4 linked regions of the Tamandua tetradactyla genome follow. The protein of the gene in region 1 interacts with the protein of each later gene in a biochemical or structural test. Links are inferred from orthologs where the notes say so. Each region holds a gene or a part of one and is shown in the gene's direction. Other genes may lie near its edges.

Region 1 (7,042 bases):
TGCACTGGTGTACATTTACTACAATTGATGAAGACATTTTATAATTGTACTATTTTTATAATTGTACTATTAATTATTGTCCATGTTTAACTTAGGGTTCACTAATTGCGTTGTGCAGTTCATCTGTGTATTTTAATTTGTAAAATACTCCTAGTTATAAGATAGCTAAATGGGTAACTGACCAAAGCTGAAGAGTGGCTTCAAAATCAGGAAGAATGATTTAACCTGCTGTGTAAGACAATCAAATGAAGGCTGAGAATCAATTCTTAGCACTGTGATCATCTGGAAATCTTTTCAGGATGGTGGGGACTAGGTTTCACCTTTCACTAAGTGTTTGTGTCAACTACATGCTAGATAGAGAGTATACAAAATGAAAAGCTATCATCCCTACTCTCAAATTACCTACTCTATTTGAGGAAGACTAGGGTCTTAACAGATAACTCTCATGGAGGTATGTAAAAACAAAACAAAAATGCATAATGGACAAATGTTCATACCAGGGGAGGTAGGAAAGAGCTCACAGGAATCCTTCTTATCAAAGTTAAGAATAACAATTTGTTTGACAGCCCAGAAGGTCTGGACTTTGGAGACAACCCCCCCCCAAAAAAAAAAAACCCTATGGTTTTGGGTGAAACTTCAACAAATACTAAGTACCATGAACAGTAGTGGATGATGAGCCTAAATAATGAATAAGTGCAGTACAGACCATACTGCATACAGGAATGCCACCATTTTTCCCATGTGAGGCTTACTACACAGCCAGGCACAGTCTGTTCATAAGAGTGGTTCTGAAGTAAAACAATCCTCAAATGATCCACATTGCTTCAAAAAAACTTTTTTTTAAATTTTCCACATTGCTTTTTAAAAACAGGAGTAACTTCAATGATGTCACAGATGGTTGCATAGACTGACACTGATGGGTGAAGGATTTGAGAAGTCTTGAAATAAACGTATTCATTCAATTGGGGGGGGGGTTGTGGGGACTAAATCTAAAGAAAATTCACAGGAGAATAGATCATAGTTCATTAGCTCTCAGGTTCTCTCAGTAAGGAAGGATATGACCAGGACAAGCCTCACTGGCTAGGCACTGAATTCTGTGTTGTCCTAGAAGGAACAAAGGGAAAGGATTGTAAAAAGGAAGGTGGCTATTGTATTTCTGGATCAAAATCTAGGCCTTTTCCTCAGAACCTGGGATAAAATTAGAGCCTACTTCTCATTTCAGGCATAGACCAGCATAGAACCACGGAAAAAAACAGACTTTGAAGCTGAACAGAACAGTCACAATTAACTAAAGGATCTGAGCCTTAGTATTCTCATCTGTAAAAAAGGATGATAATCTCTTCAATCGGTGAAAGGATTAAGCTCGACAATATAAATGTTAGTTTCTTTCCCCCGCCCTAGACAGCTTAGGTGTGGCCCTTTGCTGAATATGCCAAACAGCTGTTTAGAATCTCCAGAGCATGGTTTACAAGATTGAGTAATGCTGGTTTTTCCCTCCAGGAAGTTTCTTCCTTCCAGTTTCTTCCCTTACTATTTACCAAACTCTGGTTTAGGAACTAATTACTTGAAAAAGCCACTTAAAAATTCATGTTCTCAAACCTTTCTCGGCTCCCGTGCGTTATCGTGGGCACCAGGCACTGCCTTGACGGGAAGAAGCACTCCGGCGAGTTCGCGGAGCTGTATGTGCCGCGGCAACGCTCCGCCAGCAGCTTCACCATTGGCACCAAGGACCACACTCCCGTCCAGATCAATGGGACCGAGCTGCACAAGGTCACAGGCAGGTTCAGCAGCCAGTTTAAAACTTACAGTCTGCGAGGAAATTCGCAGGATGAGGAAGTCAGATGACACCATTCCTGGACTGGCCAAGGCTGAAGGCATCACTTTAGAGAACTTCCTATTGAACAGTCATGGATGTGGAATATTTGTAATACAAAGTAACCACCTCCCCACCCCCACCCCACACTCCTCTCCCAATCATATTCTGAAGACCCATTCTACCCTCTAACCCACATTTACTAGGTCTAGGGTGGGGTCTAGGAACCTGATTAAGAAATACCCCATAGGATTCTGATATAGACTAGTCTTTGGAAACTTTAATCCAGGGAAAGATGCAAGGAATTGTACGTAATGTGATGAGTTTTATAATAAAGGTGTACAAAGAAGATTGAGCTGTGCAGGCAGTATGGGCAGAAATTTTCTTTTCAGGAGGTAGAAGGTAGCAATAAAAGTTTTTAAAACAGTTTTTTAATTAAGCCCATTTATATAAACAGTAATACAAGGAACTGTGAATAAATTTCTGTGGATTACTCTGGGTTGGAATCTGGCACCTACAAACTTATTTTTGTGACCTTGGCCAAGTTACCCCAATTTTTTCCCCTGTAAAATACATAATAATGTCCCAAATACTTAAGTTCTATCTTCCTTATAAGAATTACTTAAGAAATGCAAAGTCCTAATGGACCTAGGTATCTAATACAGCAGGCACTCCACAATCATTTTCTCTCTTCCAGCCCCTGTCCAAATCAGCAGCGGCCTCACTTCCTACCTTCAAAGGGCTTAACATCTTTTAGGAGAATCCAGACTTTAAAACATGACAGCATATAATGAAGTGCTGTAATGCAGATAATAAAGTGACAACATACAAGATACAAGTACTAAAAGAATAACTTCATGTCATTTACAAGCCACCCAGGCCTTCTCCACCAAAACTAGGGTAAAGGGGATGCAAAATGGAGGACAGAATTCAGGTGACTTGTGCAAAATCTTCTTTCATCACTGTGGTTATAAAAAGCAGTAACTCGGCTATCTTGCTTTATGTTTCGGCGATATTTACAATTAAGGGCGGGGGTGCGGGTATCGGAGAAGCAGTTCAGGACTTGGAGTACGGAAGATTCCCTAACGCGCTTTAGCCTGAAAGACAAGCTCTTGAAAACTAAACCGGTCATTAAGAAACTAGTGCCTTTGTCGGATAATTTAATGAAATGGCGTTCGCTGGACTCTCTTGCAAAATTGGTCATTTAAGTGTTAACTACTTTTGCAAGCGCTGACGCCAAATTTCGTGATGCCTGCACTCAGAGGGCTTACACCCACACTCTAAGGCATTCGTCCGCCAGGGGAGGAATGAGACGTCAGCGTTGCCTTTTAAAGGCTGTTAAATAAGGACTCAAACGAGCCAGAGTGGATGGGTGGAAATTCGCGCCAAAAGCGACTTCTTAGTCCTGGGCCTGACACCTGTGGAGTTGGAAAGCTCGGTTTAAGCATACTACCTAATAACTAAAGACGTCTCCTGGGAGGGCCAATATGGCGACGGTCTTCTCCTGGCACAGCCCAGTCCCCTCCCACCATGGGCGGCTCTAAGTAACGCCCATTAGTCAATATGAGGGAGGTGTCTGGATTACCTAGCCCCCTCGTTGGGCCGAATGACTGAGCGAGACGCCAATTCTCCCTTGGCCACTCCAAGTTCCCGCCCTCAGAGCTCATTAGGCGGGTAATTGGCTTTTCGTCCACGTCAATATGAGTCCTAACCTGTCTCTTTTCAGATTTTACCCAATCATAACTTTCCTGACTGCCCGCCTGATATCTGATTGGTTTTAATCTGCTTCATCCTATCCCATTCCTGCCTACTTCTTACTTCTCCTCCCCAGGACTTTGCCCAGGCACGTCCAAGATTCTGGTTGGTCGTTGGTCTGTCACTCCTATCAAAGTTCTCCCTATACCTACCTCTCAGGGAGCCCGCCTGGCCGTTGACTGGTTTCCCTGAAAGCCCGTCATGTCTAGCTCCTGCCCACTTTCACTTCCTGCATTTTTCATTGGTTTTTAAAATTTTGAAGGCGGTCTTTTTGGGCGGACACCAGGTACGCAACTCTGCATTACACGCCCTAGAGCGCAAGCGAGCCTTGCCATTGGATAATCTGCCCGCCTTTCTTCTGCAAGTCCCTCCTTTCCCCCTCCCTCATTGGGCGGGGCAGCAGCGAAGGGGCGGAGCCTAGGCCGGGCTTGTGGCGCGCTGCTCCCTCCTCCTTAACCCCCCCTCCCTGTCCGGTCTAGGTTCGCTTGCCTCGTCAGCGTCCGCGTTTTTCCTGGCCCCCCCCAACCCCCCCGGACAGGACCCCCTTGAGCTCGTCCCTCAGCTGCCACCATGAGCGGTAAGGATGAGTCCACTCCGAGCTTAGGGGTGGGAGGGGAGTAAGGGGGCGCGCGCAAGGACCGACCGGGCGGTCCCCGCCGTGAGGGGGGGCGGGCGGGAGGCGGCGGCGGCGGCCTTGGTCCCGCCCGGGGCGGAGGGAAGGGAGGGAGAAGGGGCAGTGGCGGGGCCTCCGAGGAGGAGGGGGATGGGCCGCCCGCCCCGGGGGAGGGGGCAGCGTGGCCTCGCCCGCCCCCTGCCCGCCCCGGCCACGGGGGACGGGCCTTACCCCCCACTACTCGTCCGCCTGCCTGAGGCTCCTCCTGTGTGGGGCTGGAGCCGCGGGGGCGGCCCGAGTGCTGCAGGCCCCGCCCGGGCCAACCGCCTCCCTGGTTCGCCCTCTGGTCACCGCCTGCCCCAAGGCCCTCCCTCCCCTTCCCCTACATTTCCCCTCCCCCCACCGGCCCGCCCTTTCCACGCCCCTCACCCCGAAACCGCCCTTTCCCTCTAGGACCCGCCCTCTTCCCGCCCCGAAACCTCCTGATATCTAACCCCAGACCCCTTTTACCGGTTTACTGTATTCGCGGGTTTCCCCATCGCACACATTTTTTACCTTTTCTTTACCGGTTTCTCCTTCTCTTCTCTTGCTACTTTATACATTCGTATTTTTCCTCCATTTTCTTTAACCATAATTTTAGCAAGCTTCCCATCCACCCACATGTTGTTTTTTGCCTTGCCTCTCCTTCTCCTTTTTTTCTCCCGCATACTTTTTCTTATTTTAAAACTTTCAACATGCCCACAGTCCCTCATAGTTCCAATCCCAAAAGCATATTTTGAATGTTTTCAGAGTTTAATTTTGTGCAAAGAAAAATTGAGGCCCAGTTCTGGCACCACTAAGCTTATTCACAGTCTACAGTTTTCTCCCTCAGTCCACTTTCTTTACCTTGGCGTCCTTCACCTTTCTCTTAGTTATTTCTGTTTCATCATAGCCTCCTTTGTCACTTTACCCTTTCTCACTTTACCTTGTTTCTTCCCTTAACTTTAAGTTGTTTGCCTTTTCGTTCTTTTTAGACCAAGATCACTCCATGGATGAAATGACAGCCGTGGTGAAGATTGAAAAAGGAGTTGGTGGCAACAATGGGGGCAGTGGTAATGGTGGTGGTGCCTTTTCTCAGGCTCGCAGCAGCAGCACTGGCAGTAGCAGCAGTGGAGGAGGGCAAGTAAGTGATAGTGGGACACAATGAAAGAAGGTATTGAGGGGATGTAAGTGCTTCTAGATAATTGCCTTACTCTTTGCAGAATAAAATTTAGGAAGAAACAGAACTGTTTTTCAGGTGGGGAAGTAAGCACAGAGAGACGACTACCTTGGAGATCTTCAAAGACAGGAATTTCAGCAATATAGATAGGCTGGCTTTTTGTTTCTGTTTTTGCTCATGTGTCTGCACTATTTTGCTCTATGTTATGTACTTCCCCCTGGGTTGGTAGCTTGTTATCACTAACTCCTTTCCTTTTCTATATTTTCTGGCTAGGAATCCCAGCCATCCCCTTTGGCCCTGTTGGCAGCAACATGCAGCAGAATTGAGTCACCCAATGAGAACAGCAATAACTCCCAGGGGCCAGGCCAGGCTGGGGGCACAGGTGAGCTGGACCTTACAGCCACACAACTCTCACAGGGTGCCAATGGCTGGCAGATCATCTCTTCCTCCTCTGGGGCTACTCCTACCTCAAAGGAACAAAGTGGTAGCAGTACCAGTGGCAGCAACGGCAGTGAGTCTTCCAAGAATCGCACAGTCTCTGGTGGGCAGTATGTTGTGGCTGCTACACCCAATTTACAGAACCAGCAAGTCCTGACAGGACTACCTGGGGTGATGCCCAACATTCAGTATCAAGTAATTCCACAGTTCCAGACTGTTGATGGGCAACAGCTGCAATTTGCTGCCACTGGGGCCCAAGTGCAGCAGGATGGTTCTGGTCAAATACAGATCATACCAGGTGCAAGCCAACAAATCATCACAAATCGAGGAAGTGGAGGCAACATTATTGCTGCTATGCCAAACCTCCTCCAGCAGGCTGTCCCCCTTCAGGGCCTAGCTAATAATGTGCTCTCAGGACAGGCTCAGTATGTGGCCAATGTACCAGTGGCCCTGAATGGGAACATCACCTTGCTACCTGTCAATAGCGTTTCTGCAGCTACCTTGACTCCCAGCTCTCAGGCAGTCACGATCAGCAGCTCTGGGTCCCAAGAGAGCAGCTCACAGCCTGTCACTTCAGGGACTGCCATCAGTTCTGCCAACTTGGTATCATCGCAAGCCAGTTCCAGTTCCTTTTTCACCAATGCCAATAGCTACTCAACAACTACTACCACCAGCAACATGGGAATTATGAACTTTACCACCAGTGGATCAGCAGGGACCAACTCTCAAGGTCAGACACCTCAAAGGATCAGTGGGCTACAGGGATCTGATGCTTTGAACATCCAGCAGAACCAGACATCTGGAGGCTCACTGCAAGCAAGTCAACAGAAAGAGGGGGAGCAAAACCAGCAGACACAGCAACAACAGATTCTTATCCAGCCTCAGCTAGTTCAAGGAGGACAGGCCCTCCAGGCCCTTCAAGCTGCACCATTGTCAGGGCAGACCTTTACAACTCAAGCTATCTCCCAGGAAACCCTCCAGAACCTCCAGCTTCAGGCTGTTCCAAACTCTGGTCCTATCATCATCCGGACACCAACAGTGGGGCCCAACGGACAGGTCAGTTGGCAAACTCTTCAGCTGCAGAACCTCCAAGTTCAGAACCCACAGGCCCAGACAATCACCTTGGCCCCAATGCAGGGTGTTTCCTTGGGACAGACCAGCAGCAGCAACACCACCCTTACACCCATTGCCTCAGCTGCCTCCATCCCTGCCGGCACAGTTACTG
Region 2 (7,957 bases), on another chromosome or scaffold:
CTGAGTTTCTTGGGCACTCCCAAGGTTGTGGGGGTGGTAAGGAGAATGTAACTCTAAGGATTGTGAATATATATTTATTTCACTTTGCATTTTTTGTCTTTTTAAGCAATCGCAATTCAAGAGAACACAAGCTTTCCAAAGGCAATGTGAGAATTATTCAAACATTCCCACTGTTTTAGCTACCCCCAGATGAAGCCACTTGTTTCAAGATGCCTTAGTTTGGGGTTGGAGTTGCATCTAAACCACATATTTTTCTTATTAGATAAATTAATACATATGGTTCCTCACAGCTCCCCTTTAATGGGTTTGTTCAATTCATCTCCCAATGGCATTAAATGGCATTTTGTGACTGGGACACCAGAGGGCACCACTATAACACAAGCTGCCTCAAGAGTCAGGCTTGGGGTTGGGGTATTTTTCTTTTGAGGGAAGGCAGAAGATAGTTCTAGTTTGATTATTTAAGAGATTGCTGTATTTTTATAACTCAAGCTTGAAATGTAAACCATGTGTGAGATGACTGTCAGAGAACAAGTGACCAAGTCTCATTCCCCTGAGCTCTTCTGCCTGCCTTTGCCTTTCTGACTTGGGCTTGAGTTTGGGAACTCGATATGTGTACAAATGATCTGTTGGCCAGTGTTTCATTCATCCTTCCCGCTGTATCCCTGCAATGTGATCTGGACTGCAGCAGGTGGTATGGGGTAGAAGGATGAACAGAGAGAGCCATCTGAAATGAACACTACCCACTAGTGTGTGTAGGAGAGGATAGTTCAGACATACGATTCTACATGTTGTGACCATTTTCACACTCCTTTATGGAGCATTTGAGCGGGGAGCACAGTTGCATACCTAGAAGTTGGGAAAGTATCTGGGGTTATAAGGGTTAATAAGCATAATTGCAAGATTGTCCGAAGGCTGATGGAAAGCAGAGACTGAATGGGATTGAGAACAGATGCGAGGCTTGATTTAAATTACATTTTATTGGATACTGCAACCTAAAGAGACGTGACTGCTTTACAGTTAGTTTCCACACTGTGGGCAGCTGCTGTCTGTTCTGTGTCCACAGTAGGATCCTGCCCAAAAAGGAGCAGCCTCCCCACCTCGTTGTATTTGAGGCTTGGCGCCTTCCTCTTAACTGTGGGGCTTGAGTCAGGAACATGGCTTGACTCGCAGTGGGGCTGCAATGTATCCTCCGTGGCTGCCAGCCAAGATCACATTTGCAGATTCAAAGGAGCCAAATTTCTCTCTACCTCCTTTCTCTCCCTTTCCCCTGGTATTTGGAAATAGGTTTTTCTGAGTATTGGTTTGTTGGTTTCCTTTCCTTCAGTTCTCCCCCCACTCAATTTCTAGGTCATTGCTGCTCTCAAGACTTCAGCAATTGGAACAGGGTTGGTTCTGTCACTGATGCGTGAAGCAGACTTAGAATCCCTGCCTGGCTTCCGCTGCCCTTGTGGGAGCAAAAGCCGATGTATGTTTGTCAGTAAAGTCTTAAGTGTAATTCAGACAGCCAGGGAGCAGGTTGAGAGGAGGAAGAAAGTCCTTTCCTTGCTGGCTTTTCTCACTTAGCTATAGCTAAGAGCTATAGTAAGGTGGTCAAATTTTTAGTGGGCTGGGCTGAGCTTGTGGTTACTAGTTTTTGCCAGGATCATCGGCTGCTTCACATGGAGTGGTGGCAGAGATGCTGACATACATTTTTCCTCTTGAAGGTGGTGGGATATGTCCTGATTTGTGTGTGTGTGTGTATATATTCCCCCCCCCCCCAAAAAAAACAAGCTTCTTAGAGTGCTGGTGGGTATTGCCATGGAAAAAATCAGGCACAATAAAGTTGGCGCAAGTTTCAGCCTGAGCTGCCACCTCTGATACCAAAAAAAGTTGGTGGACCCCTATTCCCTACTCCATCCCCCCCAACCATTGGTACCTACTTTTATTGAGTGCCATATTAATATACACCAATGAGAACTGGGGTGTGGAGATGAGGTAGAGCTTGGGGACTAAAAAATAACATTTTTTTCAAGAGGTGTTACCTTGACTGCAACTGAGGAAAACCTAGAAGAGAGCCAAGGTGGAGATTTTATTCACATTTGGCTCTATCCCCAGTACTTAGTTCAGTATCTGGTACCTGGTGGGTAATCAATCCATAATTGTTGAATAAATGGATAAATGAACCCAGTAAGATGCTGCCTGTCTTCCCATTTTTAAACAGTTCAACATTGTGGGTGCTTTTGCATTGGGATGTTGAGCAGGCCCCTGCACACGAAGGGTGTTCCATCTTATGAGATGTGTCTTAGCACAGTTGTGGGGCATTTATTGGCCTCATAGATGCCTACCACTCAGTCCCTCTGATGTGGCATTTTGCTTGAGGCAACTTCCATTTTGCTCCAGGGACATTTTGCTGTAAGGAGAGAGTCCTACCTGAAGGCTGGGAAGAGGGGTGCCTGTCTGGATGTCACCTAGTGTTACTGGAGATTGGCCAGAAGCTGTGCCTTCAGTTGGCAAGGGATTAGGAGGGAACCCACCTTTGCTTTCCTGCTTTTTAACTTTGGAGAAGTTGTCAATCTCACCATCCTCCCCCAAAAAAATAAGGTGCCATCATAGGCATAAACAGCCCAGGTCTCCCTCTAAAGATCTATAGGGGAGAAGGCCTGCCCTTTGGTTTTCCCTTGATTTCTAACCCCAGCCCTAAGGCAGTAGAAGCTAATTGGGTACAAGAGGCCTGGGTAAGGTTCTCTGAAGACTGGCGAAAGGAGAAAGCAAGCTCCTTTTTAAAACAGCTCTAATTGAGTTCTGAATCAGCCTCACTCCCTTTGATCTCGCCTCTGTTTCCCACACTGCCTGAAAGAGCTAGATCAGCACTTTATAACAAGGGTGCGCCTGCTCCCCGTGCCTCCCCCCACCCCCTTGATGCTCTGCTGCCGCCATCCACTGCTTGTCTCCTTCAGTTAAGATAATGAAGATGCTGAGAGATAAAATGTGTATTTAATAAGGGTGGGGGTAGGGAGCAGAAAGGGGCAGCCAGGGCCTTCTAGTTTGGGGCCTAGCCAAGATGAGCTTTGAAAGCAAAGCTAGAGTAAGACTTGGCCCCAGGGTGTAGGGGTTTCTGGGCCTCAGTCCAGCTGACTTCACTGCCTACTGTTGCCCTAAATTCCCCCACCTCCACCCTCTCACCCCCACACTTCCCTTCCTCTCTTCTTGCTCCCAATGGGAAAAAGGACTCTTGCTCCAACTTTCTTTTTCAGCTGGTAATTTGGCCTTTCCTGTGGTGCCCCCACTGGAGTCAGCTGCAAGGTTGGACTGGGGCAGCCCCCTCTAGCCTAGGCCTGTAGAAGCTGTGGGTTCATGGTGGGGGGTGAAAAGCTGGAGTTAATGAAGACCAGCTGCTAGTCTGGGTTCTGCCTCCAGCTAGCTGGAGGCCAGCCTTTGGTAGTGGTTAGAGGTTCTGGGGTATGTGACCTCCGTCCCTGGGCACAAGGATATCCTGTGGCAGATGAGCCTTGTGCTTCTCTGCAGCTTGGTTTTATCCTCAGTTTGTAAGAGAGTAGTCTGTTTCCTTCTTCCCTTACTCCTCCTTTCCCCAAATAACACTCAGCCCTTACTGAGCTTTATAACTAGTGGTGGCCCAGCTGAGATCTGAGGAGCTCCAAGCCCTTTTGTAAACACTCATTAACTCTGCCTGGGAAGAACCAAGAGTCCTGTTTAACAGCTGGGAGAGAACTGAGGCACCTCGGGGTGAAAGGCTTGACCTGAGCTCACATCACCGACTCCACCCTGGGGCCCTCCATCCTTACTGTCTAGCTCCTTCCCCAGTTCTTCTTGTAGACAGAGGTGGAGGCAGTGCTGTTGCCCTTTCCCCTTCTAGGAAAAGGCCATGCTCTCTCCCTCCCTTAAGTCTGTCCCTGGCTTCCCTGGCCTTTCACCCCATGACATTTCCCCTGCTCTGCTGCTAGAGAAATGTGCAACCCTCCTTGCAAAATGTTCTCAATCCACCCCTCTGTAGACTTCCCATCCCCCCCTTTCTTTGCCCACCTATCCCACCAAACCTGAGTTTTTCTCTTTGAGCTACTGAGAAGGTTGGCTATCCTAAAGTAAGTCAGTAATTCATCTGACCAACTCTTCTGCCTTACATTTATGTCCCAAATGGCATCTGGGGAAAACTTCCCTTTCTTTAATTTGTTCATTCTGGTAAAAATCCAGAACCCTACTGAGGACTGGGTCAGAGCACTAGCTGACTTTTAGGTTCTGCATTCTGTTCTGATATTTACAATTGCCATTTCTGTCAACCGATGTAGCTGAAAGTGTTTTCTCCCTTCTCCCCTAGCCCTACTTGCTCATACCCTCACCTGAATATGCGTATTTATATCCACACACACAAATGCACACACCTCACCCTCAGGATGTAAAGTTCTATCTTTTTTCAGCTGCAATTCAGGTCATCCTGCCCACTTTACTTACCAGAAAACCAAGTAGATATTTCCCCTCAGATGGCTCCTTAGGCCCTTAGAAATAGTGGGGAGGGATGGAAAGCCTTTGCTCTATCTGTGAAGGGAAGGATAGTAGGTAGAAGCAGGCATGAGCACCCCACCCCTTCAAAGATTAGTGCTTGTCGCTCCAGTTTAGTAGGGGTAACAAGAAAAGGGATCTTAACCCCATCTCTAGCACTAAAGCCCAAATCCATCTTCAGGGAAGTCAAGAAGAAATGTTTATTCCCTACTCTCCCGTAATATCCTGTCCTCAGCTAAGTCATCCATGTGCTATGTATTTGGGACTTGAGACCTTTCCTATCCCTAGACCGTGACTCAGACTTCCATCTTTCCTCCAGAGTGTTATTTCTCTCCCATCGGTTCTCAGCTCCTTATCTCTGCACCTGCTGACCTAGTCAGAGCTGGTAGAAGAGGGCGGGGAGATCCTAGCATTAGGGGAGTGGACTTTAGGACCCAACGGGAGCCTGTGCTTCTTGCAGCAGCCTAACCAGAAGCAGGGGGGAATCCTGAATCGAGCTGAGAGGGCTTCCCCGGTTCTCCTGGGAACCCCACCATACCCCTGCCAACACACCTGAGCAGGTAGGACAAAACACACCCCTTCCCAATTATCCCTTGTCTGCTTTCTACCCAGGTCTCTCTGCTTCTGATCTTACCGTTTCCCTCTTGCCAGTTCAGGCTTTCCCCATCCCTCCTCCCCCATTGCTCACTGTGTCTTGGGAGGTGGGAGTCTGGGAACAGCGGGGTGTCTGAAAGCTCAGAGGCCCTGAACCCTCCAGCACCCTTCCTGCATTTTCCCCAAGGCATTCCCCAATCTGTAGCTGAAACTGGAAAGTGGGAGGAAGGTCTGCCCAGGCCCCACGCCCTTGCACCTACCTTTGCAGTATTGCCCAATATCCCTCACCAAGACAAGAAAATTGGCAAATGTTGGGGTGATAGAGAGTGGAGGGAGCAGGAGGAGGGACCTTGTGAGGGAACTGAGGTCTTCCAGGTTCATCTCACACTTGGGTGGCCAAAGGCTTTGCTGGAGGGTGGTGGAGGTTGTCGGCATTTAGGTGGCCTTTCCCTCTAGGGAAAGTTCAGTTAGAGCCCCTCATCATTGCCAACATGTCAACACCCATTGGAAAGATCCCTACTGACCTGGGGTGTGTGTGTATGTGAGGAGAGACCATGTGGTTGTAAGCTCTGTAAGCTTTGAATGTAGGTGGCTATGGTAAGGGGAGGGATCCCGGAGTATAACCCAGGCTAGAACAGACTCAGCCCATATGGCTGGGGAAGGGGGTGTGGACCAGATGGGAAGACCTCCCAGCCATGCCAGTTCCTTGGGTGCCTTGGCTTCAGAGACTCTGGCTCCTGGTGTTACCCCAGAGCTGGGAGGCCCTGTAGCTCCCACCCTCCTGCAGCCTCTGGGAGAGGCTAGATGACACCTACTGTTTGCAGTGGCTTATTTTCCCCTCCCGTGGTGGACTGATAGGCCCTGCTTTCTGAAGATCAGAGTTATCTTCTTCTGGTTCGGTAGGTTTGCAGGAGCGGGTGTATGACTTGTCTAAGTAACTGCCTGTGAATCTGTATATTGCCTCTGGGAATAGTAGAATGGGGAGGTGATAGAAGAGAGTGGGAACTCTTTGGGAGAACCCCTGCAGTTCTCAGTGTAGTAGGGGTGGGGTGGGTGGTATGCCCCCTGGTAATGCGGTCTAGGTGTGGGCTGTGCTCTGCATTCCTCCTTGGCTTCCCCAGAGTCCCGAGGGTTGGGCTTGGAGGACAGGGCAGATAAAGCACTGGCTTCAGACTTAGTTCAGCTCTTGACCTGAGGAGGGAAGTAGAGATTCTCAGTGTGAGCAATAGCCTGGAAGTAGAGGGCTGAATTTAAGACTCAGCCCGGATGTTTAACAATTTGCATTTATACAGGGTTCCCCACTCTCTAAGCCTCTTTCTTCATCTGTAAAAGTGGCTATCAATAGCAAGCCCTGCCTGCCTGACTGGACACTGCCATAAAGACCCCACAAAATAATGTAAATCCTAAAGCCCAGTGTAAATGGTAGTGATGGTCTGGGCTTCTCTCAGATGGGCTCCTCTTCCTAGATCTAGGTCAAGCTCTCTGCCTTTAGGTTCCTTCCCCTGTCCTTGCTTATCTGAGGGATGGAGGAGCCAGGCAGGGTTATTGCCCCAGGGGCTACAGAATTCCCCTACTGTAGATTGTGGCTGTCACAAGAGAGCCTGTGGTCAAGACAGGACAGATGTCTCCAGCAGCCTTCTCTTCCTCTGGGACTCCATACCTTCTCCCCTAAGCCCTGTCTTCACTTGCCTTCTGCCATCCCTGCTCGGAGTCCTTGTCCCTGTCTCTCCCCTGTCCTGTGGCCTCCGTGTCCAGCTCACTGGGCGAGAGCCCTAATCGGATTTGACAGCTGAGATATGTGTGGCGGCTGAGAGCTGGCAGGAGGGAAGCCAGTGGGAGGATGGTGTGAGGGCCGCCCCTGGCACTGCCCAGGCCTCCTGAGTGCCACCTTGAGCCTGCCAACTCCTCAACCTGGCCCCTGGGAAGTATAGGATCAAAAGTCTGGCATCTGGAAATTAGGGACGGGGGAAACACACCGAGGTGTTTGAAGGGCTTCATGTCAGTATGTCGACTCTGATGGGGACAAGAGGACAGGGAAGTCAGGCTGGCCTCACCTCCTTCCTATCCCCACCACCCCAGTTTTTTCTCTCCTCTGGTTCAGCAGAAGTGTATTCACTTTCTCTAGCTGATGCCTTTGGCCAGCACCTCCTTATGGGTCACATCTAGGAGTTGCTGGGGACACCAAGCATCTACCTGGCTCTGGGCTGTTTCCTCCCCTCCGAGGTATTTCACTCACTCTCTGGGCCAGGCGCCAGGGCTCCTGGGCTCCTGGGTTTCCCGCCTGCCTCATGGTACGGGGCTCCCCTGCAGGTCTCCAGAGTCGCTAAGCTGGTTCCTTCCTACTGTATGGGGAGGGCCTTCTCCCAGCACTGGGAGGTGTCAGGAATCCCAGTAGGAGAGGAGTGAGGGCACAGTAGCTCCTGGCACTGCAGCACCCCGACTCCCGGCTCCTAGTCTCTAACTGAGCTTAGGTGCAGCAGATGCAGGTGGCAGGTCTGGCAGTTTGGCCGTCTTCTCTTCCAGGCTTCCATCTTTACATGTGGGTAGCCAAGATCTTCTGCTCTCCTTTGAGCCTTTTTCCCTACGGTATCTGGGAGTGGCTATCGAAACCCCTCTGTCTGCACCCACACATTTTGGGGAGCAGGAGATTAGCGTAATTGAGGCTGGGGCACTATTTTATCTTGCCTCCAGTTGGGCCGGGGTGAGGGAAACTGGCACTAACTTCCACAGGTCAATTCCCTCTACCCTCAAAAGACCAACGTGTGGAGCCAGGCCCTGCCCTCTCAGTGCCCACAATGTGGTTGGCACTGATTTGTCAGGAATTGGGAAGGTTTCCCTCCAAACTGCTCACCTCCTCACTCCTCCTCCT
Region 3 (7,889 bases), on another chromosome or scaffold:
TCCGTTAATAAAAAAATTTAAAAAAATAAAAAAAAATAAAAAAAAAACAGGTGAGACACATAGCCCAAATAACCCTAAAGATTGGGAGAAAGATCAAAGGAGATGGTGGATTTATACAGAGAAGCTACAGTTTAACAAAAGAGTATGAGTGCCGAATTATTATACTGATATTTCTTTTAGTCTCCAGTATCTTGGAGCAGTTAGAAATAAAAACCTAAAATCGTGAAATTGTTACCCATACCACACTCTGAGATCTGTTCTACAACTAATTGCTCTGGTGTGCTTTGAAATTTATTGCTTTTTCGTATGTATGTTATTTTTCACAATTAAAAAAAATAGGTGAGACAGAGAGAAAACAAAAAGTAAAATGGCAGATCTAAATCCAACAATGTTGATAATATGAAATGTACATGGATTGAGCAATCTAATCAAAAGGCAGAGATCGTCAGACTGGGTAATCATAAGAACACACTTTAGATTCAATGATACAAATAGTTGAAAGTAAAAAAATAGAAAAGAAAAAGATAGATCATGCAAACAACAACCATAAGAAAGCTGGAGTGGCTACACTAATAACAGACAAAATAGACTTTATAACAAAATACATTACAGAGACAGAGGTATATTTTATAATGATAAAAGGGTAAATCCATTAGGAAGATAAAAACAATTATAAATATATATGTACCTAACAACAGAGCACGAAGATATAAGAAGTGATATCAAACAAGAAAAAGAAACAAACAAAAATTATGTATCAACTAGCCTCAGGTGAGGCTATCCAACAAACATTGGCAATCTGTAACTGGAACTAGAGAGAAGGATAATTACTAAGGATAGAGATTTACATAAAGGAAAAAGTTGATGTCACAAGAATATAATGTGATTAAGGGAGACACCGTAGAGGAAGAAGGGAGTAAGAAGGTGTGCCGGTTTGAATTTGTGGTGGACCCCAGAAAAGCCATGTCCTTTAATCCTCATTCAATCTTTTTTTTTTTCAAGAGCAGGCACTGGGAATCAAACCCAGGTCTCCAGCATGGTATGGTAGGCAGGAATTCTGCCACTGAGCCACCATTGCACCACCCTGTGGGTATTAACTTTTGATTAGAGGGAGATGTGACTTCTCCCATTCCAGATGGATCTTGATTAGTTTAATGGAATTCTTTAAAAGAGAAAATATTTTGGGGACAGCAACAGAGTCCACCAGCCGGAGACCTTTGGAGATGACGGAAAATACCACCAGGAGAGCTTCAAGGAACAAGAAGCCTGTAAAGACAGCTAGCAGATGTTGCCATGTACGCCATGTGCCTTTTCAGTTGAGAGAGAAACCCTGACCTTTATCAGCCTTTCTTGAGTGAAGGTAACATCTTGTTGGTGCCTTAATTTGGCCATTTCTATAGACTTGCTTTAATTTGGACAATTTCATGGCCATAGAACAGTAAACTTGCAACTTAATAAATCCCCCTTTTAGAAGTCTTTCCATTTCTGGTATATCGCATTCTGGCAGCTAGCAAACCAGAACAGAAGGCTAGTCCAGGGAAGGATTCAGAGGGGGTAGGCAGAACTGATTACAAAGACTTCAGAGAAGGGCCAGCTAAAGAATGCTTATTTCAAAGGAGAGTTGTTTGGGGATACCTACTGTATAACATTTGAAGAGGAGTCACAAGAAAACTATAGTGGAAGTTTTCTGGATTAAAAAAAAAAAAAGGTCAGTACTTAAACCTTGATAAATGTTTAAATGTCTTCTCACCCCATTCCTGCACACTTGCTGCCTTCTTGGGCCGTGCTGATTTGTTGAGTTAATCAAAATATTCATTTGTGCTCTGAAAAAACAAGGCCTTGCAATCATAAAAAGATAAGAACTGGGTTTAAGATTTAATCTGGGTAGATCCAGAGGACAAAACTAAGCCAAATAGTGGCCATTAGAAAAACTAACGATGCAATCAGCTGTAAAGTAATGAACTACCTGGTGGAGAAAATTATTCCCTTCCAACTCTACAATTTCAGTAAGTTCCTGCACTTTTTTCTGTTAAATGGAGATACTGGTATGTATTTCATATGGCTATTGGGAAGATCACAGGAGATATGGTACATAAAAGTGCCTGGCAAAGGAGAGATGCTCAATTTATAGAAGCTGAATATGAATCAATTAAATAGACTAAGAAATACCAGCCCATTCCTCCAAGGAAATATCAACCTCAACCACTAGAGGGGAGTCTCCGTACCACACCCTTAAAATGAACCTCAAAAATGCAGCAAGAGGTGGCAAATTGTCCCTCCAGATATATCAGCCTTTCCTATGCTGAGAAACTCACTCCCACTCAAGAAACCTGGCTCAGTGCTGAACTCCATGGTGTTTTCTCTGAGTCACTATACGCTCCTGCAGTTGCAAAATGATCTGGCAAAAATCCCTCAAAGGTTTTTACTGCTTACTGAGTAAGATCCAAACTCCTTGCCAGAATCCAAGGCCTTTCTCAGTCTTCCCCCATCCTACCTCTCCAGCCTGAACTCTTAATTCTTCACATTCCAGCTACCCTGGACAAGCCAAGCTCCTGCCTCTCCGCCTTGGCTCATGCTGCTGCCTTTCCTTTCTTGGGTCCTGCTGAAATCCTGCCTTTTCAATGGCTCAAATATCACTTCCATTTATCCTTCCCTCACTTCTCCAGAGTGACCTCTCTCACCCTTGAGCTCCCACGCTTCATATTATATCCATCCATCATTTTTTATAGAGATGAAATTAACATTACATAAAATTAACTATTTTAAAGCGAATAACTCTGGGGCATTTAGTACATTCATGCTGCCCTGCAACCACCACCTCTATCTAGTTCTAAAACATTGTCATCATCCCAAAAGGAAACCCATACCCATTAACAGTAACTCCCTATTCCCCAACCTTCCCCCCCGCCCCCCCAGCCCCTGGCCATCATCAATCTGCTCTCTGTCTTCAAGCGTTTATCTACTCTGAATTATTCATATAAGTGGAATCACACAATACGTGCGCTTTTGTGTCTGGCTTCTTTCATTTATCATAATGTTTCCAAGGTTCAGTCACACATAGTATTTAACAGAACTTCATTCCTTTTTATGACTAAATAATATTCCATTCTATTTGTGCATGCTTGTAAGTGTATATATAACCCAAAATTTGTTTTTCCAATCAACTGTTGATGGACATATGAGTTGTTCCCACCTTCTAGCTATCGTGAATAACACCACTATGACGTGATTGTACATGCATTTGAGTGTCTGTTTTCAATTTTGGGGGGTATACTTCCATCTACCCTGAATTAAATTGATTTATATATGTACATTTTATCTTTTTAGTAAATTATAAACTTCACAAGTAAAGAGGATGATAGATAATCCACCCCCCAAAAAACACAGGGAGTAAGTAACAAAGATGCGATTCTAACTCAGGCAAGCTGACTCCAGAGAGCTCCTCTCCATTAATTTTATACTGTACAGTAATTTTTCAACAGAGCTTAGCTAGAGCTTCGCACCACCATTTTATAGTTCACTAAATGAATAACTGAAAAAAACACTGCTCTGATTAGCACCTCTTGAACCTTCAGAGGTGCCAGCTATTGAAAAGGCAGCCACTCAGTCTCACCCATCTGAGTCAGACTGCCTAGCGGTGAATTCAATTATGAGCCATTTCAGAATCATAATTACTGTTCCATTTTGTCTCTTGATCTGGAAGGCATACAAGAACCTACTTCTAGCTACTCAGGAAGAAATAAACAACATGATTACTTACTGAAGCCTAGGAGATATGGGTTTTTGTGAAGCTTTCAGCTCACATCTTCAGTGTGCAACAAAGGGGGTAGGCTGGGTGGTCTCTAAGGGATTTTTCTCCAGTTCTAACAATTCATGGTTCTGAGAGATAATAAGAAATTAGAGAGCCTCGCCCCCTTCAACAGACGACATCATTTTGAGTCTCAGCTGTCATTATTGCTATGACATTAGCCAAGTCAGTTAACCCAAGTCTCAGAGTCCTCATCTGTAAAACGTGATTTGTTCTTATTTGAGTGTCTGAATATCAGAATTATAAAATCTGGTACAGATTCGAAAGATGATGATCTTGCCAGGATTCCAATTTTGCCAACTCCATCAGCAACAAAAACACTACCTACTTTGCTGGTTTGTGTGTGTGTGTGTTTTGTTTTTGTTTTTTGAGAAGAGCCTGCTAGCGAATTTTAATCAAACCCACTCAACTTTGCCTGCAGCTTTCTGGCCTTTCCCCTGCTCCCCAGGTTAAGGATGTCCGGCCTTTGTCCCTAAGCCACTAGGTTGGGGGCCAGGCCCTCAGGGTTCCCCAGCTCTCGCCTGTGCCGGCCCCCTCTCGAGGCTTCAGTTTCTGCATCTGCACAGGGCAGACCACAGCCACCAGGAAGCCCTCTCACACGGCCCCCGGGAAATACCGACGGCCTCACTCATCCTCAGGGCCGGGCTGCAGCGGATTGAGAGGACGGCTCCGTCTCGCGACCCCCGGCCGCCTCGCGGTCAGCGCAACGTCCTGGCTCCACCACATGCTCGCTGGGTGGCCTCGGAGAAGTTCACGGGCCGGGCCGCATTGGGCTGGCCGTGCCACTGACCCCCTCTACCCTCCCCCCAGGCCCTTCTTCGCGGACCCCAGCTGTCGCGCCCAGGACTACCACACCCGCGGCGGGAAAGCCGGGCGCGCGTAGGAGCGGGCCACGTGACCGGTCGCCGGCCCTCGCTCGAGCTCGGCGGGGGCGCGGCGCCCTCGGGGGCGGGGCGTGCCCGGGGGCGGGGCCTGGCGCGCGCGACCCCGCGAGTGACAGGGCGAGCGGGAAGGGGCGGGGCCTCGGGCGGAGCCGCCGGGCGGGCGGGAGGGGAGAGGTGGAGATGGCGGCGGCGGCGGCGGCAGCGGCGGCTGAGGGGGGCGGGGGCAGGGAGCCCCGGGGAGCTGATGGGGTCGGGCCGGGGGTCTCGGGGGAAGTGGAGGTAGTGAAGGGACAGCCGTTCGATGTGGGCCCGCGCTACACGCAGCTGCAGTACATCGGCGAGGGCGCATACGGCATGGTCAGGTGAGGGGGCGTTCTTGGAGGGGGTTATCGAGGAGGAGGGGGCTCCGAGAGCGAGGGAGGGGAGGGAGTGGGGTGCTGCGTGCTTCCTGAGACCTGGAGACTTAGAGCGTCCTGAATTGGCGAGGGACTCAAGAGGCTCGGGGAGCGTCCGGGGGGAAGGGGCCTTTGAGTGCTTTCTGGGGGGCGGGCGGGGGGGCGGGGTGCTGCGAACGTTTTAAGGTAGGGGCCTCGGAGGCTTTGAACGGACCCCCCTATAATGCAAGGAGGGGCATCTGAGTGTATGTGGGGAAGCTGTGGGGACCATGGGAGGGAAGGGGGCCCTTGGGGTGAAGCAAAGATTTCATTCTTGGGGAGGTGATATCCTCAGTGAAGGGGGAGTGAAGGACCCTCCTTTGGGGAGAGGAGGCCTTAGATCTCCCAGTGAGGCTGTCCCAGAGAGTTTGGGAGAGAAGAGCAGAGCTTGGGGCTGGGCAGGGTGGGGCAGGATTTTGGCAGGGGACCAGGGACCCAGTGAGTGATGAGAGCACCCGGAGTGCCCCCCTGCATCTTTTGGGAGGGGATCTATAAGTTCTTCCAGCCGCCCTGTCTGCTCTGGGCCTTTGTTCCTCTGGGAACTGCTCTGCTGCCCAGGTACCTCACCCTGAGACCTGCCCCTGCCTTGACCTTTCCTTCCAGGCCCTCCTCCAACTCCCTCTGCCTCATTGTGTGTCCTTCACTCACCTTCTACCCCCTGAACCTGTCTGGGGTGGAAAGAGCCCATTCTGGAAAGGGCGGTGGGGGGGGGGATGAGGGTGAGTCAGGGCAACTGGAATGGAAGAGGGTTAAGGAGAGGGGAAGTCAGTGAGCGGTCAGTCTCTTCCTCTGTTTGTAAAGTCACCGAAGGGCCTCCTGGCTGCTCCCCAGCCTTTTCCCTGGAGATCCCAACCCTTCACCAGCAGGAAGGAACCAGCATTGTTTATGACTTGGCCAGAGCCCTCTCCTGCTCCCTCCCCTCCCTGCCAAGGCTAGGGTGGAGCCAGCCACCAGGCTCTGGACTCCCCCTTTGTAAGGCCACACCATCATCATCTCCCTGGCCCTCTCAGCTCAGCTTATGACCACGTGCGCAAGACTCGTGTAGCCATCAAGAAGATCAGCCCCTTCGAACATCAGACCTACTGCCAGCGCACACTGCGGGAGATCCAGATCTTGCTGCGCTTCCGCCATGAGAACGTCATTGGCATCCGGGACATTCTGCGGGCGCCCACCCTGGAAGCCATGAGGGATGTGTATCCTTCACCCTGGCCAGATGGCTGGCCAGGCATGACTTTGGAGCTAGGCTGGGGGAACACTGGCCTTCTTTCTGTTTCCTTCTTCCCATCCAACCTTCAAAACAAACTCCATGAAAGAAACTTTCCAGCACAAGAGAGGCCAGAGTGTAAAAGGGTTGGGAGGCCTCAGTAGGATTCTGACCCTGCTCAGACAGGCTGTGTGACCTTGGGCCAGTCCCATCCCTGCTCTGGGCCTCTGGGGGGCTGGGCAAGATGGTCTGTATGGGATCTTTGTCTCCTGACATCTGCAGATCTGTGGTGTGATCCAGCCTCTGCCCACGGTCAGTTCTTGCTTAATAGACTGACGATTCTTTCCTCTTTGTATCCCTGGGCTGGAAGGCAGGCAGGCAAGAAGAAAGCTGCCTTTTCTTGAGGACCTACTATGTGTCAGGGGTTGTGTCTACGAAGTGCTATTTCGTATCTTCCAACTGCCCTCTGTCAAGATAGGCCTCACCAGGTCCATCGTAAAGATGAGGAAACTAAAGTTTAGGAAGCCTAAAATCAAGTGCTTCTTGTTGCTTTCTTCTTCTTCCCCCCGGATGAGAATCTGCCTTCCTTTGACTTCCCTCTCAGAGCCCTACCCCAGGTACCTCTGAATTTGAACCTTGCCCAGGGAGGGACAGACTAACCTTTGTTGCCCTTCCCCAATCTCGCTTTCTGAGTTTGTTGTCCACTTCCTGCCTGGTTTGATGGATTCTCTCAGCAGCTTTTCACACCCATTACCCTGCCTGTTCCAGCCCTCCACCAAAGAGTGGAGATTTGTACTGCAGAGTTTGCTGCCCCCACCACAAACTGAACAGGAAATCTCCACATTTACCCCCTGACTTGCTGTGTGATCTTAAGCAAGTCACTACCTCTCTCTGGGCCTTCCCATCCATAAAACAGCAGGATTGGTCCAGATATCCTTGAAAAGCCCTTTCTAGAGATGAGCCAGATGGCATTATTCATTCATTCATTCATTCATTCATTTATACTTAATCTTTGTTTTATCTTAAAATATAAATATACATTTGTTCCTCAACCTTCTGATGTATGGCCAAGGACTATTTTTTGAGTAGGAGTGTGCTGTTGGGAGTTTTCCTCACTTTTTTTTGCCTAAATCATTCCCATAAGGCAAACATTCATTTTCAAGCAAACATTTCTTGCATACCAGATGGTGTTCATACATTATCTCATTTAACCCTCTTAACAGCCATGTGGCACAGGCAGTTAGAATAGTAATAAAAGTTTGTGTTGACTGAGCATTAACCATTTCCTAAAGCCCTGAGCTGCTTACTTTACAAGAATCATCTCATCCAGTCCTCATAACCATCGTCCAATGAACGATTATTTCCTCCCTTTTACAGACGAAGGAATTGAGGCACAGTCAGGTTGATGCTTGTGTGAGTAGTAGAGTAGGGATTCCAAACATTGGCAGCTTCACTCCAGAACTGTCGCTTTTAACTGGGATGTTCCCCTGCCTCCTGTGGTTTATCATTATCCCCATTTTCCGTGTAGGAGAACTGAGGCCACAGAACAGTGATGCCTT
Region 4 (7,926 bases), on another chromosome or scaffold:
TTAAAAGCCAGTATGTAGTTCACCATGCTAATTTCTCTCTGCCATGGCAATCAGCTATGTTCCAGAGAGGAGGCACTCTGTTAGCTTGGGTTCTAGAGTAAAGATGACATGTATGAAACAGAGCCATGTTGTATGACATGGCATGTAGTATGAGTAAGAAGTTGTCTCTATGGCTGTAATCCAGTAAAGTTTTAGGAGGGCTACCATAGTATAATTGAGCCTAGACAGAGGTGTGCATTTCCAGCTGTCTTCCAGGCACAGAGTAGGACTGCATGATCCTGTACCCTTTAAGTTAGGCATGATCATGTGATAAGTTTTGGTCGATAATATGTAAACAGAGGTAACATGGTCATTTTGGGTAGGAAGCTTTAAAGCCAACATGAATTCACCACGTTTTCTTTCCCTTGCCAAGATCATTGGGATGATTATGGAAGCATATATCAAGACGAAACTTACTTCCGACTAGGTCTCTAAATGAGAACATTCAGCAGAGTCCCTCTGGCCTTGATCGTGTAGTATCAGTAAGGAACAAAGTTTTGGTGTTAAGCCACTGAGTTTTTTTAAGAGTTCATTATGGCAGTATAATCTAGCCTATTTTAACTGATAAAAACAGGCACCTAGACATAGGGAAATGCAAAAACAACAGTATACACAACAACAAAACTAAAGATTCATTTACAGGGCAATAATTAAGAACATTGTTATCAGAGGATGAAAGGATGACGATCCAATTGACAAACGTATCACTGTGATAACTAAGATGGCAGATCAAGAACCTACCCAACAAAAGCAAGAAGCTGTAAACCAGAATGTTAGTAGCATCTGTTGGTTGCTGTTGGGCACTTTTAGAAAGTTATTATAAAAATAAAAATAATAATTTCAAAAAATCAAACAAAAAAAATTCAACAAATGGTGCTGCAATAACAGGATACTCACATGGAAAAAGAATGAAATGTGACCACTGCCACACAGCATACCAAAAAAACAGAAAAGCTAGAAAGTAAGGGCCAATTAAAGAAGGCCTGGATATAAGAATTGATCAAGGGGAGGGCCTTCAAATTTATTGTTAACACCTCTGGATAAGATGTGTTAAGATGCTACACAGCACATATTTTCAATTGGACAAAATGGCTCAGGAAAAGGGAGAAAAGGTATGACTCTCCCATTGAAGCCCAATAAGCCCAAAGCATTCAAAATCAAGTTCAGGGTGGGAGAAATGAGAGCAAGAAAACTGAAAAAAATGTGACAAACCACAGAACTTAGAAACATGTTTAGAAAAAAATAGTGGCTGAGCTATTAGCACATGGAATACCTGGAATCAAAAAGGTAAGAAACATAATACATTTCTGAGAGTTGTACTGCGAAAAGAATGTGAGACTGGATTCAAGTTTGGGGATTCAATATCCCCCAAATATTACAATTTTATTTAAAAGCCTATTTTCCAATGCCTACATAGAAAGCAAGACTCTCTCAAAGGGCAAAGCCAGGGGTCACAGAAAACAACAGACAGGGCAGATATACTCATGGAGTGATACCAGAGTCTAATTAGGGTACTGGATAGAGAAGTCCTCCAAATGTCTGCACAGTGGACCAATATCTGCTGTGGTCTCTGAATTCTTCCCTTTCCAAATGGGAGTGTTGGCTGCAGCTGTACTGTCTCTGTCCCACGATTACATTTTGAGGTGTGGAGGATAAGTATCTTGCCCTTAGATGAAGAGGAGTTACATGTGAATCTGATGTAAACTCTACTACCAGCACCAGAAATCCTGGACAGTGAGCTTAATGCTGAAAATGGATGGTTCTGGTTATCTCCCTTGAGGAAGAGTGAGGGAGTTTTTCCTGTGGAAGGAGAGTAAGCCAAACATTTTGTGAACAGAAAGGGAGACTTACAGAACATTAACATTCCCCAAATATTCCTGGCTCTCTCCCTTCAATACACCTGGCAGGATTACACAGATTTAAAGTTAGGCATGCTCATGTAACTTGCTTTGGCCAATGATATGTGTCCCTTCCAGGTGAATGCTCTGAGAGCCACTGACTGATATGCCTCATTTTCTCCCCCTAGCCAAGGTAGTTGTAAGAAGCATGTATCGAGATGAAGCTCCTTCCTTAAGTGACTCCTTAAGTGATTATAGGGGCAGAATCCCCTGAAAACCCACGTCGGACATGGAACATGAGCAGGAAATAAACTCCCATTGTGTTAACCCACTGAGATGTTAAGGTTGCTTGTTATAGCTTTCCTGACTGATGCTGGGAGTGAAAGATGAGACTGGAGAGAGCAGGAGAATAAATTATGAAGGGCCCCTTCTGCCAGGCAAAGGAGTCAGAACTCTCCTATAAGAAGGCAATGAAGATTTCCAAGCAGGGGCGTTAACATGAACAGATTTGTTATTTTTTGGATAAAATACACTATTTCTCAACAGAAGGAGAAAATCAGCCTACTAAACCACATAAGGCAGGGAGGAACATACAGAATCTTCAGGAAAAAAGGTATATACCCAAATTCCTAAGTTTTGGAATTTCTAAATAAGGGAGCTGAACGGAGTCTCTGAAAGGAGTTACAAATCAGAGGATCAGGCGAGACAATTTCTCCTATCCTACAAACTCCATTTTCTCTGCAGACAACTAATATTTCACAAGAAAGTTTGCCAGAGCCAAGAAGATAACAGGGAATATTAATTTCCAGCTCCCTGTATGACTTAGCAAGATACTTAAACTCTCTGAATTTACTTCCTTATATGTCAAATACAGATAATAATAATTATACATATTATATATATTATATCAGTATACACATATATCAAGATGGTTGTAGGGAGAAAACAGCACATTTAAATTGCCCGAAAAATGGTAAGTGTTTAAAATATGAAAATTATTCTTATTGTTATTGTAAAAATTACTAAGAACACAAGTTTTCTGATTACAACAAAAAAATGATTATGGACAACAAAACAAAGAATGAGCCTCCTTCAAGGAAGGAACTGGATCTTGTCACCCCTGTATACCTACACACTCCTCCTCACTGTACCCCAGCCTCAGTGGGCCTGACTCACAGTAGCCACTGTTATCCTCTGCGGCATGAGTGAATGAGAAGTGAGCGCCCAGAGTGAAGAAAAATTGGCAGATTTCCCACTGACACCACACCAGCTGCTGTTTTACTGTTGATTCTGAAGTCTCAAAGCCACAAATACCTTAAGGCTGGAGATTATGAACTCAAGACAGAATTCCCCCAATCTCAGAGGAGAAAAACCAGAATTAGACCCTAGGAACTTAAACTGCTTCAATTTCAAGCCCCAGTCTCAGACAGAAGACCTGATAAAGAACTGATTTGTAAACCTTTCCTCCCTCACCCCTTCACTCACCACCTCCCATTACTGCTCCTCACAAGAAAGTGGACTTGTACTGCCAAATCAAACTCTCCTAACCTGGCATTTCATCCACTTCCTAAAAGGCTCGGGGAAACTTCCAGGAAGGGGGCTATGGAGGGACCAACTCCCTAGGCCTGGAAGCTATGATGCTACGTTGACTCCGGGTAGCCGAATGAGGTAGATGGGTCCCACTCGCAGTTGAGGGACCTGAAGTACCGAGTTCAGTGCTTTGCTTCATTTCACAATATAGCAGCCCTGAGCCACGAGAGAACCCACGATTCCGGATTTCGGTATTCTTTACACCACTCACTTCTGCCCATAAAGGGGGGGGGGGGCGGTGGGGGAGAGATGGGGGTGGGGAGAAATCAAATTACAGAAAAAAGAGCCACTTACATGTGTCTAGCGCTTCCTAGAGGCTGCACAGAACTTGGGCCCACCACCCGGCAGGGAGCAGAGATTCTGAATACTAGTTCTACCCCTAAGGCGTTGCGTGACTATTGCTAAGTCTCTGCCACTCTTGAGACTTGGTTTCCCGGAAGCAAATCCGAGCCGGAGTGGTGAATGTATCGTGGACAGACGATCACCCGGGTTCCCCGAGTTTCGGATTTCCTAAACAAACGCTCGTTCCCAACTGGACGCTGAGTTTGCCCCAACCCTACCTCATATAAAAACCTCCCCTCTGAGGCAAAGCTATAACCCCCCGCACGCTCTCCCTTAGGAGACTTAGGGGGTAGAGGATGAAATGGGGTGCAGCGGAGACTTGGCGGGGCGCCCAGTTTCAAGCAATGCAAATCATTCGGGTCTAGGCACAGCCAGACGGCGGCGAGAACTGTCGCTCCTGAACTCGACCAAGACAAACTTCGGAGCGTTCTCAATGGAGGGTGTTGACTCCCAACACACCGCCCCTAAACTGAAGCGCACTTTCACTCGCCCCACGGGAGACTTTACAGAACCACCTTAAGGGCTGCGTTCCCGCCCTCCGGAAGTGCGGGGGTGGGGCACAGACGCGGGCTGCCAGCCTCCTGGTCCCGCGAGGTAGAGAAATGTCCGTAGGTGACTTCGAGCCGCGACCCCGCAGTGGGAAAATGCCACCGCCCACACACCCTCGGTCCCAGACTACTGGTCCGGTTCCCCAGCCTTCCGGGTCCCCGCATCCCGTGCATCCCTGTCGCGAGCCCTGAACTTGAGCCTGCCTCTGTCAGAAGGTGCGAGCGTCAGCTCCCGTCCGCCCGCTCGCGGCGGCCACCGTCACTGGACAGTCAAACCCCAAGACGTCAGCCCACAATGCATCGGGCGGGTTGGGGAGAGGCGGGTGAAGAGAGGCGAGATCGCGCGGGAGGGGGAGGGGGAAAGGAGGAGAAAGAAGGGCCCAACTGTAGGAGGGCAGCGGAGCATTACCTCATCCCGTGAGCCTCCGCGAGCCCAGAGAAGAATCTTCTAGGGTGGGGTCTCCATAGCGACAGGCGGGCCCGCCCCCCAGAGAGCGACGCAAGCCAATGGGAAGGCCTCGGGGTGACATCATGGGCTATTTTTAGGGGTTGACTGGTAGCAGATAAGTGTTGAGCTGCGAGCTGGATAAGGGCTCAGAGTTGCACTGAGTGTGGCTGAAGCAGCGAGGCGGGAGTGGAGGTGCGCCGACTGGGGTAGACAGACAGATAGACACAGTCAGTCAGTCAGAACGGCAGTGGAGCCCGACCTGCAAGTCTTATTTTCTTTTCCATTTCCTTACTCACTGCCCAGAGCTAGAGCCTGTGGCTCCGGGCTGGTGTTTGGGGAGCGCCGGGAGAGCCCCTTCTCCAGCCGCCCCCGGGAGGAGAGCCCCGCTGCCCAGGCACTGACTGCCGCGGAGAGCGACGACTGCCTGGGGAAGTCCAGCGAGTGGCTGCAGCGGCAAGGAAGTTTCCCGACCGGGAGAGAGAACAAGTACCGCAGGTCCGGGAGAGAACTTTTGCAAACCTTTCCTCCGCCTTAAGCTGCCGCGGCGGCGGTAAAGAAGGCGGCGGCGGCGGAGTGAGGAGAGAGAAGAGGGACGTGCACCCCAGCTTCGCTCTCACGCGTTGCTGAACTTGGGCGAGCGCGAGCCGCGGCTGCCGAGCGGTCCCCCCTCCCCCTGGTAGCGGAGGAGGGGACAGTCGTCGGAGTCGGGGCGGCCGAGACCTGTCGCCGGCCGGCCACTGCGGGGTCCGAGCTGACCAGCGCCTCCGGGAGAGCCGGTGTCCCCGAGAAGCGAGTCCGTCTGCGGAATCCGAGGAACCTTTACGCCAGACAAGCGCTCAGTGAGTGACCGCGACTTTTCAAAGCCGGGCAGCGCGCGCGAACAGACAAGTAAGAAAGAGTGCAGGCGGCACTTAACCCTGAGTTCCCTGGAGCGAGCCGGTGAGGAGGGCGCCTAGGGGAGGACAGCCCGCGGGTGTGCGCACTCTTAGAGAAACTTTGCTTGCCCAAGGCCCGGGGAGGCGCGGGTGTTCCCCGTTTGTCCGCGCGCTGTTGCGGCCCCCAAAACTTCTGCGCGCAGCCCAGACTAACCCCACTTCAAGCGACGGACTGTTCTATGACTGCAAAGATGGAAACAACCTTCTACGACGATGCCCTCAACGCCTCGTTCCTCCAGTCTGAGAGCGGCGCCTACGGCTACAGTAACCCCAAGATCCTGAAGCAGAGCATGACCCTGAACCTGGCCGATCCTGTGGGCAGCCTGAAGCCGCACCTCCGCGCCAAGAACTCGGACCTCCTCACCTCTCCCGACGTGGGGCTCCTCAAACTGGCGTCTCCCGAACTGGAGCGTCTGATAATCCAGTCTAGCAACGGGCATATCACCACCACACCGACCCCCACCCAGTTCCTGTGCCCCAAGAACGTGACCGACGAGCAGGAGGGCTTCGCCGAGGGCTTCGTGCGCGCCCTGGCCGAACTGCACAGCCAGAACACTCTGCCCAGCGTCACGTCCGCGGCACAGCCGGTCAGCGGGGCGGGCCTGGTGGCCCCGGCGGTGGCTTCCGTGGCGGGCGGCAGTGGCAGCGGCGGCTTCAGCGCCAGCCTGCACAGCGAGCCGCCGGTCTACGCCAACCTCAGCAACTTCAACCCCGGCGCGCTGAGCAGCGGCGGCGGGGCGCCCTCCTACGGCGCCGGCAGCCTGGCCTTCCCCGCGCAGCCCCAGCAGCAACAACCGCCTCAGCCGCCACACCACCTGCCCCAGCAGATCCCGGTGCAACACCCGCGGCTGCAGGCCCTGAAGGAGGAGCCGCAGACGGTCCCCGAGATGCCTGGGGAGACGCCGCCCCTGTCCCCCATTGACATGGAGTCACAGGAGCGGATCAAGGCGGAGAGGAAGCGCATGAGGAACCGTATCGCTGCCTCCAAGTGCCGGAAAAGGAAGTTGGAGAGGATCGCCCGGCTGGAGGAAAAAGTGAAAACCTTGAAAGCGCAGAACTCGGAGCTGGCGTCCACGGCTAACATGCTCAGGGAACAGGTGGCACAGCTTAAACAGAAAGTCATGAACCACGTTAACAGTGGGTGCCAACTCATGCTAACTCAACAGTTGCAAACGTTTTGAGGAGAGACTGTCGGGGGTTGAGGGGAAACGGAGAAAAAAAATGACACGGAGGGACGGACTTGAGAACTTGACAAGTTGCGAGAGAGAGAAAAAAGAAGTGTCCGAGGACTAAAGCCAAGGGTATCCAAGTTGGACTGGGTTGCGTCCTGACGGCGCCCCCAGTGTGCACGAGTGGGAAGGACTTGGCGCGCCCTGCCTTGGTGTGGAGCCAAGGAGCGGCCGCCTGCGGGCTGCCCAGCTTTGCGGACCGGCTGTACCCGCGCGAACAGAACGTTAAACTTTTCTTTAACATTGACCAAGAACTGCATGGACCTAACATTCGATCTCATTCAGTATTACAAGGGGGGAGGGGGAGGGACAGGGATTACAAACTTCAATAGAGACTGTAGATTGCTTCTGTAGTACTCTTTAAGAACACAAAGGGGGGTGGGGCGGGGAGGGGAGGCGGGAGGACGGTTTGTAGAGAGGGAGGCTGAGCCAACAGATGAACTCTTTCTGGCCTGCCTTCATTAACTGTGTATGTACATATATATTTTTTAATTTGATGAAAGCTGATTACTGTCAATAAACAGCTTCATGCCTTTGTAAGTTATTTCATGTTTGTTTGTTTGGGTATCCTACCCATTGTTGTTTGTAAATAAGAGATTTGGAGCACTCTGAGTTTACCATTTGTAATAAAATATATAATTTTTTTATGTTTTGTTTCTGAAAATTCCAGAAAGGATATTTAAGAAAATACAATAAAATATTGAAAAAGTATCCTCCACCTCTTTTCTGCATTATCTGTAGATTAATAATGAGTGGAGTTGAAAGAGTTAAGAGTGTCAAAATCTCAGAGCTTCTTACTATCAAGCAGTAAAAACTACTCTCTACTGGACTTTAGAAATGTAGCTGATGCTCTCCTCAAGTTACATTATTGCCTCCCCCCAACTATCTATGTAGGATTGCTCACCAAAGGATAGTGTGGTCTTTCAGGTTGCTTTAAAGTTTGTATCAAGTGGCATG

Evidence for each region.
Region 2: the proteins of SP1 (region 1) and RARA form a complex in vitro, tested with the Homo sapiens proteins (2 studies listed by BioGRID). The link is inferred for Tamandua tetradactyla from reciprocal best matches to the Homo sapiens genes SP1 and RARA.
Region 3: of the proteins of SP1 (region 1) and MAPK3, one has a biochemical effect on the other in vitro, tested with the Homo sapiens proteins (2 studies listed by BioGRID). The link is inferred for Tamandua tetradactyla from reciprocal best matches to the Homo sapiens genes SP1 and MAPK3.
Region 4: the proteins of SP1 (region 1) and JUN form a complex in vitro, tested with the Homo sapiens proteins (2 studies listed by BioGRID). The link is inferred for Tamandua tetradactyla from reciprocal best matches to the Homo sapiens genes SP1 and JUN.

What each region holds. Positions count from the first base shown.
Region 1 is NC_135333.1:114,748,430-114,755,471, forward strand, and holds the start of SP1 (transcription factor Sp1), read left to right. Parts: upstream 1-4,031; 5' UTR 4,032-4,138; coding exon 4,139-4,145; exon of another isoform or gene 4,146-4,170; intron 4,171-4,402; exon of another isoform or gene 4,403-4,527; intron 4,528-5,194; coding exon 5,195-5,343; intron 5,344-5,652; coding exon 5,653-7,042. UniProt on the Homo sapiens protein: Transcription factor that can activate or repress transcription in response to physiological and pathological stimuli.
Region 2 is NC_135332.1:27,028,845-27,036,801, reverse strand, and holds the start of RARA (retinoic acid receptor alpha), read left to right. Parts: upstream 1-4,947; 5' UTR 4,948-5,054; intron 5,055-7,957. UniProt on the Homo sapiens protein: Receptor for retinoic acid. Retinoic acid receptors bind as heterodimers to their target response elements in response to their ligands, all-trans or 9-cis retinoic acid, and regulate gene expression in various biological processes.
Region 3 is NC_135349.1:24,645,705-24,653,593, reverse strand, and holds the start of MAPK3 (mitogen-activated protein kinase 3), read left to right. Parts: upstream 1-4,872; coding exon 4,873-5,054; intron 5,055-6,136; coding exon 6,137-6,319; intron 6,320-7,889.
Region 4 is NC_135328.1:162,049,563-162,057,488, forward strand, and holds JUN (transcription factor Jun), read left to right. Parts: upstream 1-4,918; 5' UTR 4,919-5,919; coding exon 5,920-6,921; 3' UTR 6,922-7,680; downstream 7,681-7,926. UniProt on the Homo sapiens protein: Transcription factor that recognizes and binds to the AP-1 consensus motif 5'-TGA[GC]TCA-3'.